4 linked regions of the Canis lupus familiaris genome follow. The protein of the gene in region 4 purifies or fractionates together with the protein of the main gene of each other region. This does not show direct contact. Links are inferred from orthologs where the notes say so. Each region holds a gene or a part of one and is shown on either strand. Other genes may lie near its edges.

What was found.
Region 1: the proteins of RYK (region 4) and NCR3LG1 purify together in Homo sapiens (affinity purification with mass spectrometry; 3 studies listed by BioGRID and IntAct, counting the BioPlex papers as one, with this or other methods). This does not show direct contact. The link is inferred for Canis lupus familiaris from reciprocal best matches to the Homo sapiens genes RYK and NCR3LG1.
Region 2: the proteins of RYK (region 4) and ADGRA3 purify together in Homo sapiens (affinity purification with mass spectrometry; 3 studies listed by BioGRID and IntAct, with this or other methods). This does not show direct contact. The link is inferred for Canis lupus familiaris from reciprocal best matches to the Homo sapiens genes RYK and ADGRA3.
Region 3: the proteins of RYK (region 4) and PCDH7 purify together in Homo sapiens (affinity purification with mass spectrometry; 3 studies listed by BioGRID and IntAct, with this or other methods). This does not show direct contact. The link is inferred for Canis lupus familiaris from reciprocal best matches to the Homo sapiens genes RYK and PCDH7.

Annotation. Positions count from the first base shown.
Region 1 is NC_049242.1:40,592,473-40,596,524, forward strand, and holds the start of NCR3LG1 (natural cytotoxicity triggering receptor 3 ligand 1), read left to right. Parts: upstream 1-1,200; 5' UTR 1,201-1,274; coding exon 1,275-1,368; intron 1,369-3,615; exon of another isoform or gene 3,616-3,747; intron 3,748-4,052. UniProt on the Homo sapiens protein: Triggers NCR3-dependent natural killer cell activation.
Region 2 is NC_049224.1:88,004,082-88,007,643, forward strand, and holds part of ADGRA3 (adhesion G protein-coupled receptor A3), read left to right. Parts: intron 1-1,411; coding exon 1,412-1,625; intron 1,626-1,853; coding exon 1,854-2,062; intron 2,063-3,562. UniProt on the Homo sapiens protein: Orphan receptor that may have a role in planar cell polarity pathway.
Region 3 is NC_049224.1:80,974,844-80,978,937, reverse strand, and holds the start of PCDH7 (protocadherin-7), read left to right. Parts: upstream 1-1,260; 5' UTR 1,261-1,381; coding exon 1,382-4,094.
Region 4 is NC_049244.1:31,574,225-31,578,254, reverse strand, and holds the start of RYK (tyrosine-protein kinase RYK), read left to right. Parts: upstream 1-1,185; coding exon 1,186-1,423; intron 1,424-4,030. UniProt on the Homo sapiens protein: May be a coreceptor along with FZD8 of Wnt proteins, such as WNT1, WNT3, WNT3A and WNT5A. Involved in neuron differentiation, axon guidance, corpus callosum establishment and neurite outgrowth.

The sequences.
Region 1 (4,052 bases), on a different chromosome or scaffold from region 4:
TGTTTCCTTGGGATTCATAGGACCCTGATTCTGGGCCTTTCCTTTATCTTTCCCTCTCTAGCCCCTTCTATCCCTAACTCAATAGCACACAAGTGAAAATCCCAGTGGTTTGCAGAGTGGTTAACCAGGCAAGTATGGGGATTCAACAGATAACTTCCTTTGGATGAAGTTATTTAATCATGCTAGTAATACCAAAGAGGACTCCTCCTCAGGTTAAGCCTTCCTGGAAGAGGTAGCAGTTGAGAAGAGTTGTAATTTAGGATTTTAGAATTCTATGACTGGACCTAACCTTGTAGATCTCTTAACTTGTTAAGACTGCGGACCAGAAACTGTGACATTCTGAAGGCCCCTCAGCAGCTAGTTGGTATCAGTGTGGCCACCCTGCTCACCTCCCAGATTTATGCTCTTTCCACTTCGCATGCTGTTCTGCAGGTGAGAAGGTCAACATTTGCTTAGTTACTGACGGTGCCTCTAAGTCTTCATTCACACCCAGCCTGATCCTGTAATTCTTACAATTGCTGGAGATCCAGCAATTCTCCACCGCTGAGCCACCCATGTGTCCTGCCTTTTTTAAAATTTTATTTATGTTATTGTTTTATTAAAATTCAATTTGCCAACCTATAGTAAACACCCAGTGTCCATCCCATCAAGGGAAGGGCCGCCTTTTGGTGTTTGAGCCAAACGTCCAGGAGATAGGTTGGTTTTTAGTTTCAGAATGTAAACGAATTTTAAAGATATTTATCTTTATCTCTATGTATCTTTAAAGATCTATATATAGAGAGATAAAGATCTACTTTTTAAGAGAGCCACGGCGTCCGCGGGGTGAGGAGGGGCGGGGCTCGGGGAGAACCGGGCTCGGGCTCCGCAGGGAGCCGCGGGTCGGGGGCTGCTGGCTGGGCTCTGGGATCGTGACCGCAGCCCACGTCGAGGGTGGGGGGTGCATCCGACTGCGCCACTTGCCGGGTAAGAGCAGAGACCCCCGGGCCCCCCGGCTCCCGGCCTCAGTTTGCAAACTCACTCTCGCGGGAGGCCAGGTCCCACCTCTGGAAGGCGGGCTCGGAGCAACGCGTGGGCGGACCCGCAACCTCCGATTGGTGCGGGCGTTGCCACGCGCGGGGCGGGGCACGGCCCTTCCGAGGGGAGCGGCGAGGGCCGGGCCGGACTTCGGGGCTCTGCACGCGCGCCTGGCCGGGTGCGCCCCGCCCCGGTGTCTTCCTTCGCGGCGCGGCCCCGGGGGCCTGGGGCTGGTGCGCGCGGCCTCCGCTCGTCTGGCGATGGCGCACGGGCCGCCGCTCCTGCTCCTGCCCGCGCTCCTGCTCCTGCCGGCGCTCCTGGTCCTGGTCCTGTGGTTCGGGACGGCCAGCTCAGGTAGGCAGGGGGGGGGGGGGGGGGCGGGGGGGCCGGGGGCGCGGCGAGGCGGGGAGGCCTGGGAAGTGCCCGGGATCGAGACCCGGGATCGAGACCCGCCTCGGGCTCCCCGCACGGGAGCAGGGAGGGAGCAGGGAGGGGAGCCTGCTTCTCCCTCTGCGCCCCCCGCCGCCCCCCTCGCCTCCGCCCCCCCCCGCTTCCCCCCACCCCCCCCCGCTTCCCCCCACCCCGCCTCCGCCCTCTGCCTCTGAGTCTTCATTCACACCCAGCCTGATCCTGTAATTCTTACAATTGCCCCCCCCCCCGCCTCCGCCCCCTGCCTCGGGCTCCCCGCACCGGAGCAGGGAGGGAGCAAGGAGGGGAGCCTGCTTCTCCCTCTGCCCCCCGCCCCCCAGTCTCTCTCTCTCTCTCTCTCTCTCTCTGTCTGTCTCTCATTGATAAATAAATAAAATCTTAGAAAAAAAAAAAAAAAGCAAAGTATAGGGATGCGGGGGGTGGGGCGAGTAGGAGAGAAAGCAAGAAAACGCTCCCCCTCCACCTGCTGGTGAAGGGCAGTGGTCTGCGGAGGCTTATCCTAAATGACACGGAGGGGTTTGTATGGATCCAACAGGAAACGAAAGGCAGCGAGGCAGATGAAGCGTCGTTTAGACGCGCTGCCAGTTCTTAACCGGTATGTGAGGGGCTTAATGGAAATCGCAGGCGAGAAAGTGTTGATGGTCCGAGGGCAGAGAGGGCCTTAACATTGCGCCTCCTGTTGAGACAGTGTCTAACTTCCTTCCGTGAGAAGCTAGTTGAAAGCTCCATTCAGACGAGATCGGGCGCGTTCACATTGCTTGCAAGTTTCATGAGCTGAAGGAAAAGATAGATCGTCGTTCTGGAAAGAAGCTGGAGGATGGTCCCAAGTTCTTGAAATCTGGGGATGCTGCCATTGTTGATACGGTTCCTGGCAAACCTATGTGTGTTGAGAGCTTCTCTGACTATCCTCCTCTGGGCCCTTTCGGTGACATGAGACAGACGGTTGCTGTGGGTGTCATCAAAGCAGTGGACAAGAAGGCAGCTGGAGCTGGCAGAGTCACCAAGTCTGCTCAGAAAGCTCAGAAGGCTAAATGAATATTATCCCCAATACCTGCCACCCCAGTCTTAATCAGTGGTGGAAGAACGGGTCTCAGAACTGTTTGTGTCAATTGGCCATTTAAGTTTAATAGTAAAAGACTGGTTAATGATAACAATGCATCGTAAAACCTTCAGGAGGAAAGGAGAATGTTTTGTGGACCATTTGTTTTTTTGTGTGTGTGTGCGTGTGTGGCAGTTTTAAGTTATTAGTTTTTAAAATCAGTACTTTTTAATGGAAACAACTTGACCAAAAATCTGTCACAGAATTTTGAGACCCATTAAAACAAAAGTTTAATGAGAAAAAAAAAAAAAAGAAAGCTGCATTCAGAGGTCATAGAATAGAAGTTAAAAATAATAAGATGTCACTTGAGACTTAATAAATTGGCCAGAGTCCACTGGGATGTGCCAAGTGGTGCTGGGTGGACGGGTGGGGATGTGGGAATTTAGGAGACCGGCGGGGTGTCCATCACTGGGGCTGGGGATGAGCCAAATGTGGGTTTGCATGTGGAGAACTCACTACCTTCCACCAGTGGACTAGCTGTACCCACTTCTCATTACCTTCTACCAATGGACTAGCTGTACACGCAGCAATGAGACAGGATTTGAAGCAGTTGCGAAGAGCAGAAACAGTGACAGGTAACTCCAAACCATTTTCGTAAGTTTGAGAAACAAAACAAGGCAGTGTTAAAGAGAACGAAAACAGAAGCTTTAAACATCTTAGAATGGTAACCTGTTAGGGAAGGGAGATGGATATTAAAAAAAAGGGTAAATGGTATTTCTGTACACTGGCAATGAGCAATTCAGAATAAAATTAAGAAACAATTCGATTTTTGACACCACCAGAAAGAATAAAATACTGCGGAATGAGTTTAACAAAAGAAGCACAACAGTTTTACTCGGAAAACTGTAAAGCTTTTTCTTTTTCTTTAAGTATTACAGTTTATTTAATGGCATTAAATAATAATCATCATCATTACCATTAAATAATCATCAAATTAGCAACGGTAATCATCAAATTAGCAACGGTTATCTTCAAAAGTTATTACACTAGGTTTGCTGTCATTTCTCAAAAAAAAATCAGACGCCTTGAATCAGACATTTCCTACATAAGATGCATCTTATAAATCAGAATTGGTCTATCACCAGCACTGATAAAACCAGACCTAGGGAAGGAACTAAGTCTGGGGACACATGCATGGTCTTAATATAGCAAATGTTTAGCCTGCTCTGATTATTACAAAATCAGAACAGTGAGAATATTCGTGGTTGACAAAAATTTAAGAGGATCTAAATAAGTGCGATCGGAAAACATCCTGTCTTATTAAGTCTTTTTAGGCCACCCTAACAAATATCTTAGAGTGAGTGGCTTAAACAACAGATTTATTTCTAACAGTTCTGGAGGCTGGAAAGTCCAAGATCTAGGTGCTGATTTAGTTCCTGGATAGGGGCTTCCTCCTGGCTTGTGGAGTAGTTCCTGGATAGGGGCTTCCTCCTGGCTTGTGGAGCAGTACCCTCTTACTCTATCCCCTAATGCTGAGAAAGAGATCTCTCTCTCATGTCTCTAATGACAC
Region 2 (3,562 bases), on a different chromosome or scaffold from region 4:
CTTCCCTTCCTTTCCTTTCTTTCCTTTCTTTCCTGATTTTATTTATTCATGAGAGATACAGAGAGAGAGGGAGAGAGAGAGGCAGAGACACAGTCAGAGGGAGAAGCAGTCTCCCTGCAGGGAGCCCGATGTGGGACTCGATCCCAGGTCTCCAGGATCACGCCTTGGGCCAAAGGCAGGCGCTAAACTGCTGAGCCACCCAGGGATCCCCGCCTGCAGAATTTTCTTGCTAGAAATCGGATCTGCCCAGTTCAGGAGTTTGCCAGACAAAAGAATAGGAGAGCATTTCAGCGAGGGATCCTGGTGGGAGCAGCACCCACAATGGCATCAGAAACGTAGGAAATCTCAAGGATGGATCAAGTCAGGGTGGCCGGGCTACCGGTGGTGGTAGAGGGAATGTTCGAAGAGGAGTTTGAGGCGTAGATTTTAGCCAAATCACAGGATGTACTTAGGTTTGGGGGGCAGGGTTCTCTAAACATTGGAGAACTGGAGTGTTCTTTAAAACAACAAGATCAAATTTGTTTCTTGGAAGGAAATTCTGTTGGGAACGTGGACATAGGATTGGAGAGACATTGACATCAAGAGAGAAACTTTGGGATGAATTCTTGAAACAGTTTTTTTTTTTTTTTTCTTAAGATGGCTAATTATTTGCCTCCTGAGTACATAGATTTATTTTTTATTGAATGCTGAATAATTTATAATTTAACAATCCCTGATAAAATATGTAAAACACTCCTTGATCAGCCCCAAATCCAGCTGTTCTATTTGTTACCATGTTTTTCTAACCTGATTTCTAACATATTTCTTAGTCTCAGGGGTACTTGGGCTGAGATCAGAGTTTGCTTGAATCTAAGTTTCTATTAAGTCTGTGTTCCTTTTGTTTGTATGGAGTCTGCATTTCTTTTTGTTTCTGTTAAGTCTGAATTTCTTTTTGTTGACAGTCTGAATCCATCATAAATCACCTTAGAGTTCCATAAGTCCAAATTAATTAAACTCACATTTGTGGTAGGCCGCGTTGGTGCTTCTGTCTATAATTGATTGTTGTAAAATTGATAGAGTGATCGCCCAGACCCCTGATCTGTTTAATGCTATCGACTTCAGCAGTAGGTGTGTTACCATGGGAAAATTCACTTTCGAGTGTGAAGTAATTCCTTGTTTACTGCTTTAACTCTTGGAAATACAGTTTGCATTTCTCTGTAGTCTCTGCTGCTTTTCTTCTGTGCTTCTGTGTGGTGTCCAGATATCTCCTTTAACTGATAAATCGTGCTCACTGTTAAGTATCGTGCACATCACATTCAGCAGCCTGGCCAGCGGCATACAATCAGGGACAGCTCGTAGCCGTCTGAACTGTCCTTTCTGGTTTCTGCATGCTCACGTGCCAACTTTCTTTGTGTTTTTCATGTGTGTTCAGAATACGATCGTCGAGGCTTCTATTCAGCTTCCTCCCTCCCTTTTCTCGCCAAAGCAAAAAAGGGAAGTCAGATCACCTGATGACTCTCTCTACAAGCTCCAACTCATCGCATTCCGCAACGGAAAACTCTTCCCAGCCACTGGGAATTCCACAAACTTGGCTGATGATGGAAAGCGGCGTACGGTGGTTACCCCAGTGATTCTCACCAAAATAGGTGTGTTCGGTGGCATATGTTCTTCCTGTAGTGACCGGACAGTGGAACTCTATGATAAGCTGTACCAAAAAGTGCTTATTTTTGTTCCTTCTCCTTTTAATGAGTCCCTAGTAAAAAAAAAAAAAAAAAAAAAAAAAAGAACTGCAGAGTGCCCATTGGTGTATAAGTCGACATTTAATTGTTTCTGAGGTTTGTTTCAGAAATCTTTCCATCTCCCATCTTCTCCAGATGGCGTGAATGTGGATACCCACCACATCCCTGTTAATGTGACACTGCGTCGAATCGCACACGGAGCAGACGCTGTGGCCGCCCAGTGGGATTTCGATCTGCTGAACGGACAAGGAGGCTGGAAGTCAGATGGGTGCAATATACTTTACTCGGATGAAAATATCACTACCATTCAGTGCTACTCCCTTAGTAACTATGCAGTTTTAATGGTACGGCAGTTGTTAATTTCATACATGAACACTAAATTTCTTAATTGTTTCCCCTATGCATTTAGTTAATCTCGAAGATTTTTTTTTTAAACTTTCAATATAAGTTGTTGACTTTAGTTAAGAGGTGATATTTGGTGTAATTCTGAATTTAAAGGGAATTTAAGTTACTACCAAGTACAATGTATGGGATTGAACTTGGTTATAAGGATTTTCAGTCACCTTTATAAGGGGATCAGTTCAACTAAACTTTGAGCTTATAAAAAAAAAAAAAAAAAAAAAAACTTTGAGCTTATGAAAATTTGGAGACATTTGGGGTTTTATATCGTCCAACTCTTAGTCAGGAATGAGTGACTCATTTGCCCAAATACACGGTGCACAGTGAGATTTTTCTTCTTTGCCAGCTAGCACTTTTCCCCACGATACATCCTAAGTTTTAGACTCATGAATTTAGAGTAGTGGTGGCAAGTTCAATTTAGTCACGGTAAATGACAGTATTGACATGGGTCATGTCTTTCTGCCTTTAACTCTAATCAAGCTAATGTTATTTTCTGTTATTCACCACTGTTCATACCTGTTAGTCTTTGGTAGCCAATTTCTTTAGTCTTGGGGAAACTAAAATGTGTAGATAGATGTACATAAACGTGTGTGTGAACATACAGAGACCGTTCTTTTATTAACGAGTTACTTAAGTGAACCTGGTTCCCAAGCTGGTAAGTGTGAAATGAGCCATAATACTTTAATATATTTTATGCTACAGTATATACATGGAGTATGTGGGCAATGAATTTGGAGAACAGTGAAAGGAATTACTTATGAATCTGAAAGACATTTTAGAGAAATGGCACAAGGCTAGCGTGGGAGCGAGGATGCTTATGTTTCTGTTCCTGCCTCCAGCTCTGAATCTGTTATCTAGACAGTATTTTATCAAAGCACTAAATAATCTTGAAACAGGATATATCTTAGCTTTCGTAAATTCTCCTTTAAAAAAAAAAAAAAAGCGCAGGGCACCTGGGTGGTTCAGTCAGTTCAGCGTCTGACTCCTGATTTTGGCTCAGGTCATGATCTCAGGGTCCTGGGATCAAGCCCTGCCTCTGACTCTGCACTTAGCAGGGAGTCTGCTTGATAGTCTCTCCCCCCGCTTCCTCCTCCCCTCCCCTGCTTGTGCTCGCTCGAGCACACATGCGCTCTCTCTTAAATAAATTAAAAAAAAAAAAAAAAAAAAAAAAAAAGCTCATTTACCACTAGAAATGATTTTGAAGGCAGCTTGAAGTGGAATAGAATAGACTTTCCTGAACTCCTTTTTTGGTTTTCTCTTCGCACCTCAACTAAGTACATGCCTTACCCAGCATCTGGTGAGACAGACAGACGAGGAAATATATTGTTTATATATTGTTTAGCAGGGCGTGAGGATTGTCTTCAGTGACCCCCATTAATACCTCGGTTATTTAGCTCAGCTGACAGTGGGTGGAGTCTACACTAGTCAGACTCAGCATATTTGTT
Region 3 (4,094 bases), on a different chromosome or scaffold from region 4:
TCGAGTTGCCAGCACTGGGACTGGGAGGAAGGAGAGGGAGCGTGCAGGAGAGAGGGAGTGGGAGAAGGGGAAAGGGGAAAGGAGAGGAGGGAGGAGAGAGAGGAGGAGGAGGAGGAGGAGGAGGGAGGAGAGAGAGGGAGGGAGGGGAGGGATCGAGAGAGAGCGGGGAGAGAGAGAGAGAGGCTGCAATCTCCTCCCTGAATCGCGCACAGCGCTGCAGATCCCAGTGCTCCGAATTGCGGGCCGAATGCAGGTGAGGAAAGGCACGGACTCTGCGGCTGCGAACCCAAACTTGGGCACCGCGCGGTGCGCACGGCTCAGCCTTCGCCCCCGCGGGCGCACGGCTGCTGCGGTTTCAGGCGGCGGCTTCGTGACTAATGACCTTGCGCAGAGTTGTTAAGAAAAAAAGAGAAACCCGAGCTCTTGGGGGTGAGAAGGGACTGACTCTCCGGGCGTCTCTGAAGATGGCTCGGGCTGCTCTTCGGCGCGCGGGGGGGACCCGGACGCGGACCGCCGTGTGACGCGAGTGGTCTCCACTGCACGGTGCCCGAAGCGACCGACCTGCCAGGGATTTTTTTTTTCTTTCTTTCTTTTTCTTTCTTTTTTTCTTTTTTTCTTTTTTCTTTTTCTTTTCTTTTTTTTTTTTTCCCCCCACCGTTTCATTCTCGATCCGCTGCCTGGCTCCCCCGCTGCCAGAGCGGAGTCAGAGTTCAGACCGGCTTGTTGCTGGCCCCAGCGCCTCGTGCAGGAAGCAACTCACGTTTGCCTGGGCAGCCGGAGCAGGAGCTGGGTCTGGAGTGAGTGGCTGAAACGTGAATCGGACTCAACTCGAGTAGCAGCAAAGACGAACGGGGTTGGCAGGCGGGGGAGGAGGCTGCAAGCTTGCTCCCCGCCGCTTCCCGGCTCCAGCGCCCGCCTGCCGGAGCGGTTCCGGCCCCATCCGGCCGAGCGGGGGTTCGGGAGCCCGGGATCCTCCGCCCGCCGCGGGGATGACTCTGGAGGGGGGCGGGGGGGGCGCCGAGCCCGCGGCGCGCAGTGTCCCGTGAACTGTGAGTGCTGCGACTGAACGGCGGCCGGCGAGCGGGCGATTAGCACCCATTGCATGAATTATGAAACAATAACTTTCGGAAGAAGCAGAAGGAGGCGGAAGAAAAAAAAGAAGAAGAAGAAGAAGAAGAAGGATCTGTCGCCGGTCCCCCCCCCCCCCCGCCCCCCGCGCCCGGCCGACTCCGCACGCTGCTCTCGCCCCCTCCCTCCTCTCCCTTCCTCCTTTCCCGGAGCCAGAAGAGGACCGGGCGGAGGGCCGGCGGCCGGCCCCGGAGGAGGGGGGCGCCGAGGGGGCCGTGCCTAGAAGGAGCAGTAGCAGCAGCAGCAGGAGAAGATGCTGAGGATGCGGACCGCGGGGTGGGCGCGCGGCTGGTGCCTGGGTTGCTGCCTCCTCTTGCCGCTGTCGCTCAGCCTGGCGGCCGCCAAGCAACTCCTCCGGTACCGGCTGGCCGAGGAGGGCCCGGCGGACGTCCGCATCGGCAACGTCGCCTCGGACCTGGGCATCGTGACGGGCTCGGGCGAGGTGACTTTCAGCCTCGAGTCGGGCTCGGAGTACCTGAAGATCGACAACCTCACGGGCGAGCTGAGCACCAGCGAGCGGCGCATCGACCGCGAGAAGCTGCCCCAGTGTCAGATGATCTTCGACGAGAACGAGTGCTTCCTGGACTTCGAGGTGTCGGTGATCGGGCCCTCGCAGAGCTGGGTGGACCTGTTCGAGGGTCGGGTCATCGTGCTCGACATCAACGACAACACGCCCACCTTCCCGTCGCCCGTGCTCACGCTCACGGTGGAGGAGAACCGGCCGGTGGGCACGCTCTACCTGCTGCCCACCGCCACCGACCGTGACTTCGGCCGCAACGGCATCGAGCGCTACGAGCTGCTCCAGGAGCCCGGGGGCGGCGGCGGCGGCGGCGGCGGCGAGGGCCGGCGAGCCGGGCCTGGCGACAGCGCCCCCTACCCCGGGGGCGGCGGGAACGGCGCGAGCGGCGGCGGCCCCGGGGGCTCCAGGAGGCGCCCGGACGCCCCGGAGGGCGGCGGCGGCGGCGGCGGCGGCGGCGGCGGCGGCGGCCCCAACCCCGGCCCCGGCGGCCGCAGCAGCGTGTTCGAGCTGCAGGTGGCCGACACCCCGGATGGCGAGAAGCAGCCGCAGCTGATCGTGAAGGGGGCGCTGGACCGCGAGCAGCGCGACTCCTACGAGCTGACCCTGCGGGTGCGGGACGGCGGCGACCCGCCGCGCTCCTCCCAGGCCATCCTGCGGGTGCTCATCACCGACGTGAACGACAACAGCCCCCGCTTCGAGAAGAGCGTGTACGAGGCCGACCTGGCGGAGAACAGCGCCCCCGGCACCCCCATCCTGCAGCTGCGAGCCGCCGACCTGGACGTGGGGGTCAACGGGCAGATCGAGTACGTGTTCGGGGCGGCCACCGAGTCGGTGCGGCGGCTGCTGCGCCTCGACGAGACGTCCGGCTGGCTCAGCGTCCTGCACCGCATCGACCGCGAGGAGGTGAACCAGCTGCGCTTCACCGTCATGGCCCGCGACCGCGGGCAGCCCCCCAAGACCGACAAGGCCACGGTGGTGCTCAACATCAAGGACGAGAACGACAACGTGCCGTCCATCGAGATCCGCAAGATCGGGCGTATCCCGCTCAAGGACGGGGTGGCCAACGTGGCCGAGGATGTGCTGGTCGACACCCCCATCGCCCTGGTGCAGGTGTCCGACCGCGACCAAGGCGAGAACGGCGTGGTCACCTGCACCGTGGTGGGGGACGTGCCCTTCCAGCTCAAGCCGGCCAGCGACACGGAGGGCGACCAGAACAAGAAAAAGTACTTCCTGCACACCTCGGCCCCCCTGGACTACGAGACCACCCGGGAATTCAACGTGGTCATTGTGGCGGTGGACTCGGGCAGCCCCAGCCTCTCCAGCAACAACTCCCTGGTCGTCAAGGTCGGAGACACCAATGACAACCCGCCCGTCTTCGGCCAGTCGGTGGTGGAGGTCTACTTCCCCGAGAACAACGTCCCCGGAGAGAGGGTGGCCACGGTGCTGGCGACCGACGCCGACAGTGGGAAGAACGCAGAGATTGCCTATTCTCTGGATTCCGCCGTGATGGGGACCTTTGCCATCAACCCCGATTCTGGGGACATCCTGGTCAACACCGTGCTGGACCGCGAGCAGACCGACAGGTACGAGTTTAAAGTTAACGCCAAAGACAAAGGCATCCCAGTGCTGCAGGGCAGCACCACGGTGATCGTGCAGGTGGCCGACAGGAATGACAATGACCCTAAGTTTATGCAGGACGTCTTTACCTTTTATGTGAAGGAAAACTTGCAGCCCAACAGCCCTGTGGGGATGGTCACGGTGATGGATGCTGACAAGGGGCGCAATGCAGAGATGAGCCTCTACATAGAGGAAAACAGTAACATTTTTTCCATCGAAAACGACACGGGGACCATTTACTCCACCATGTCCTTCGACCGGGAGCACCAGACCACATACACGTTCAGGGTCAAGGCTGTGGATGGGGGAGATCCTCCCAGGTCGGCCACGGCCACCGTCTCCCTCTTTGTGATGGACGAGAACGACAACGCTCCCACAGTCACCCTTCCCAGAAACATTTCCTACACTTTACTGCCACCTTCGAGTAATGTCAGGACAGTGGTAGCCACCGTGCTGGCAACGGACAGCGACGATGGCATCAACGCAGACCTCAACTACAGCATTGTGGGAGGGAATCCCTTCAAGCTGTTTGAGATTGATCCCACCAGCGGTGTGGTTTCCTTGGTGGGGAAGCTCACCCAAAAGCATTACGGCTTGCACAGGTTGGTGGTGCAAGTGAATGACAGCGGGCAGCCCTCCCAGTCCACCACGACTCTGGTGCATGTGTTTGTCAATGAAAGTGTTTCCAACGCGACTGTGATTGACTCCCAGATAGCCAGAAGTTTGCACACCCCGCTCACCCAGGATATAGCCGGTGACCCAAGTTATGAAATCAGCAAACAGAGACTCAGTATTGTCATTGGGGTGGTTGCTGGAATTATGACAGTGA
Region 4 (4,030 bases):
TATCCATGGGATAGTGACACAGGAAGGTTAATGTGGACCTCCCGATGGTGGGATCAAAGGTGCTTTCTATTTTTCACCATTTTCTCAGTAAGAAGAAACAGGTTTGGCAAACTGATTTTTTTTTTTAAGATTTTATTTATTTATTTATTTATTTATTCATGAGAGGCAGAGACACAGGCAGAGGGAGAAGCAGGCTCCATGCAGGGAGCCCGACGTGGGACTCGATCCCGGGTCTCCAGGGTCACGCCCTGGGCTGAAGGCGGCGTTAAACAGCTGAGCCACCCGGGCTGCCCTGGCAAACTGAATTTAAATAAAATATTAAAAAAGAAAGAAAGAGGGGAGCCACCTGGGTGGCTCAGCGGTTGAGCGCCGGCCTTTGGCCCGGGGCGTGACCCTGGAGGCCCGGGATCCGATCCCATACCGGGCTCCTTGCATGGAGCCTGCTTCTCCCTCTGCCTGTGTCTCTGCCTCTCATGAATAAATAAATAAATAAAGTCTTTAAAAAAATAAAGTAAAAAATAAAAAAGAGAGAAGGAGGGGAAAATAGTTTCCCTTTTGCTCCCGGAGCGGCTGCACGCAGGCAGTCCCTCGGCCCCCGCGGAGCCGGCTCGGGGGCAGCCGCGGCCCGGGCCTGCCGGTCTGGACTGTGTGTCGCGGGGAGCGGGGGTGCTGCAGACAATAGACGTGCAAACATCAGGTTGGTGACAACGAGGGGCGGGGACCGGCTCCTTTCGGAGGGTGCCCGGAGAGCCCCTAGCGCGCGCGGCAGCGCTCGGAAAATCAAAGCGCTCCCCTGCGGGCCCGGCCCCGCCCCGGCCCCGCCCCGGCCCGCCCCGGCCCCGCCCCGAGCGGACGGCGCGTGCGTGCGCGCTCTCGGGGGGCGGCGTGCGCGCGCACGCGCTCGCCCCCGGGCCGCCCCCTCCCGTCCCCTCCGCTCCGCTCCGCTCCGCTCCCCTCCCCTCCCTTCCCCTCCCCCGTGCAGCGGAGGATGCCGCCGAGGAGGAGGCGGCGGCGGCGGCGCGCTCCGGCGGTCTGAAGCGGCGTGCGGCTGCCACGGGCCGGCGGCGCGATGAGCTGGGCGGCCGCCCCCGGCTCGGAGCTGTGAGGGGCTCGGGGCCGGGGGTGGGTGGCGGCGGCGCGGCGGGCGGCCCGCGCTCCTCGGCGGCGGCGGCGGCGGCGGCGGCCATGCGCGGGGCGGCGCGGCAGGGGCGGCGGGGCCGGGGCCGCCTCCCGGGGACCCGCGGCCTCAGGGCCCCGCCGCCGCCGCCGCTGCCGCTGCTGCTCCTGCTGGCGCTGCTGCCGCTGCTCCCCGCGCCCGGCGCCGCCGCCGCCCCGGCCCCGCGGCCTCCCGCGCTGTCGCCCGCGGCCGCGGGGCCCAGCGTGAGCGTCTACCTGAGCGAGGACGAGGTGCGCCGGCTCATCGGTGAGTGGGGCCGCCTGCGTCGCGACGGGCAGGTCGGGCCGACCCCGGGGCTTCCGGCCGCCCGCGGCCCAGTGCAGCCCGCGCCGCCGCCCTGCGGACCCGCCGCGGAGCCCGCGGCCACGCCGTGCCGCCTTCCCCGCGCACAGCCTCCAGCTGCCAGCTTCTCCGCCCCCCGCTTGTCATCCAGGGCCCCGGTCCCGGGCTCCTCCAGGTTTTACGCGGACCAAACCTGCAAGCCCTTTGCCCCAGTGCAGGCCAACGATGCTGTTGCTCTTACTTTCTGGTTATCTTACCTTTCTTTTTTTTTTTTTTTAAGTATTTATTTATTTATTCGTGGTGGACACAGAGAGAGAGGCAGAGACACAGGCAGAGGGAGAAGCAGGCTGCACGCAGAGAGCCCGACGCGGGATTCGATCCCAGGACCCCGGATCAGGCCCCGGGCCGGGCCGAAGGCAGGCGCTCAGCCGCTGAGCACCCCCCCCCCCCCCCCGGGCATCCCGTTATCAATACTTTTTAAAAACGAGATGGGGAGGAGCGAGAGGTTGGAAGGGCACACTACGAGTTCGTGGCAGTCTCCAAACCTTGTGACAGATAAGCATATTTTTTAGATCGTGGGTGAATCTCCGGGTAGCAGACCTGTTAGCGTCGTTCGGTTATCTTTTTGGTTTCTTGTCTTGGATATGTTGGGCCGTGGGCCACCCTCGTATTCTGAATTCCTTGTAGGGAAAGGAGAACTTAGTTTTGGGTCAGTTGGTTGTTCCATTCCACCTAATTAGCTTTGTCGTTTGGGGGATTAATTTGAGAAATAATGGTGTCCTTGTACTGAGACTGGATTCTGGAAATGAGCCCTCAGAGGGAGGTCTGATAAAAATGGCCCCAAATGGGAAGTCTTTGGTAGTTAGGGGTATCTAGACATTCTTGGCGTGTTAGACTTTTGTATGTTGTGACACTAAATATTATTCCTCCTCCTCTGAGTGATGGGAGGGGAAATTATTATTATTATTATTATTATTATTTTTGATCACCCATTATCTATTTTTATTTTTATTTTTTAAGTTTAGAAGACTTTCTTGAAGTCGATTCAGTGTTGAATGGTGTTGCTTTTAGCAGTCTGTTGAGACGTTGTTACATATATGGGTTTCTAGTCTATAATCAAAGGAGAATGCTGTGTTTTTGTAATGTCTTGCCCCTCTTAGTCCCCTTTTCCGTATAGCTGAATTAGCTAAATTTTGTTGAGATGAATTAAAACTGGAAATTAGGTTAGTACTCGGAACATAAAACTAAGGTTTAGGAACGATAATGAATGCTCACAGATAGACTTGTATCTCACGATTATTTTAAAAATATTAATGCATTCTGCATGATTTTAAAGGTTTTTTGGTTAAAAGCTTGTATATGATTTGTGACTTTGTTCATATGTAAGAGTACATGTTAGAAACCTGCCAGGTGGGGGTAGGGGGCTGGGAACAACCAGGCTGACATTGATTGAGTGCCTGCTATTTACCGGCCCCTGCATGTTTTATACGCATCATTTCCTCTCATTTTCTTGTGACCCAGTTAAGTAGATACCATTATTCCCATTTTATTAAAAACATTTTTTTTTTCTTTTAAAGATTTTATTTATTTGACACACAGAGAGAAAGCACCAGCAAGGGGAGCAGCAGAAGGAGAGGAAGAAGTAGGCTCCCCTCTGAGCAGGGAGTCCAATGAGGCGCAGGCCTTCTCCCCAGGAAGGCAGGATCCTGACCTGAGCCCAAAGCAGACGCCTAACCGGCTGAGCCACTCCATTATTCCCATTTTAGAGTTGGAAGAAAGTGAGGCTTTATGTGACTTTCTCAAGGTCACACAATTCATAATCATTAAAGAAAAAAAATTAAACATAGTGTTGACATAGGCCACAAAGTTTTATTAATTGTAATGAAGATATTGTTTACATAGAAGTTTTATTACAGCGTGGTGGAAAAGAAGTCATTACTAATTAATACTTGAAATAATGTGTATGTATCTGTCACCTGACTGAAGAGGATCCAGTTTATGCCAGGAATGGGCTGTTGGGAGGAGGGGAAGGAGGAGTGCCTCACTGATCAACCTCTGGGGCAAGAGAGACCTCCAGTCGTATTTTTTCTAATGCAGAAGGAGTTGACCTGTTACAGTATGTCTTTTTGACTCCCCTTCTTGCCAGATTCAGGGGCATCTCCCTCATCCACTGTACCTTTAAAGTTTCTTGGCTGCTCCTGTTTGGGGAAGAACAAGTGGGTAGGACTCAGATGTCTACCAGGCATCTTGAGTTCTCAGACTGCAGTTTCTCACAGAAACCCTTGCGGTGCTTAAGACTACTTGAAATAATAGTTTGTACTATATTTCTTTTTTTTTTTTAATTTTTTATTTATTTATGATAGTCACAGAGAGAGAGAGAGAGAGAGAGAGAGAGGCAGAGACACACAGGCAGAGGGAGAAGCAGGCTCCATGCACCGGGAGCCCGACGTGGGATTCGATCCCGGGTCTCCAGGATCGCGCCCTGGGCCAAAGGCAGGCGCCAAACCGCTGCACCACCCAGGGATCCCTGTACTATATTTCTGTATCATTGTGGGTTAAATGCCTCTGAAA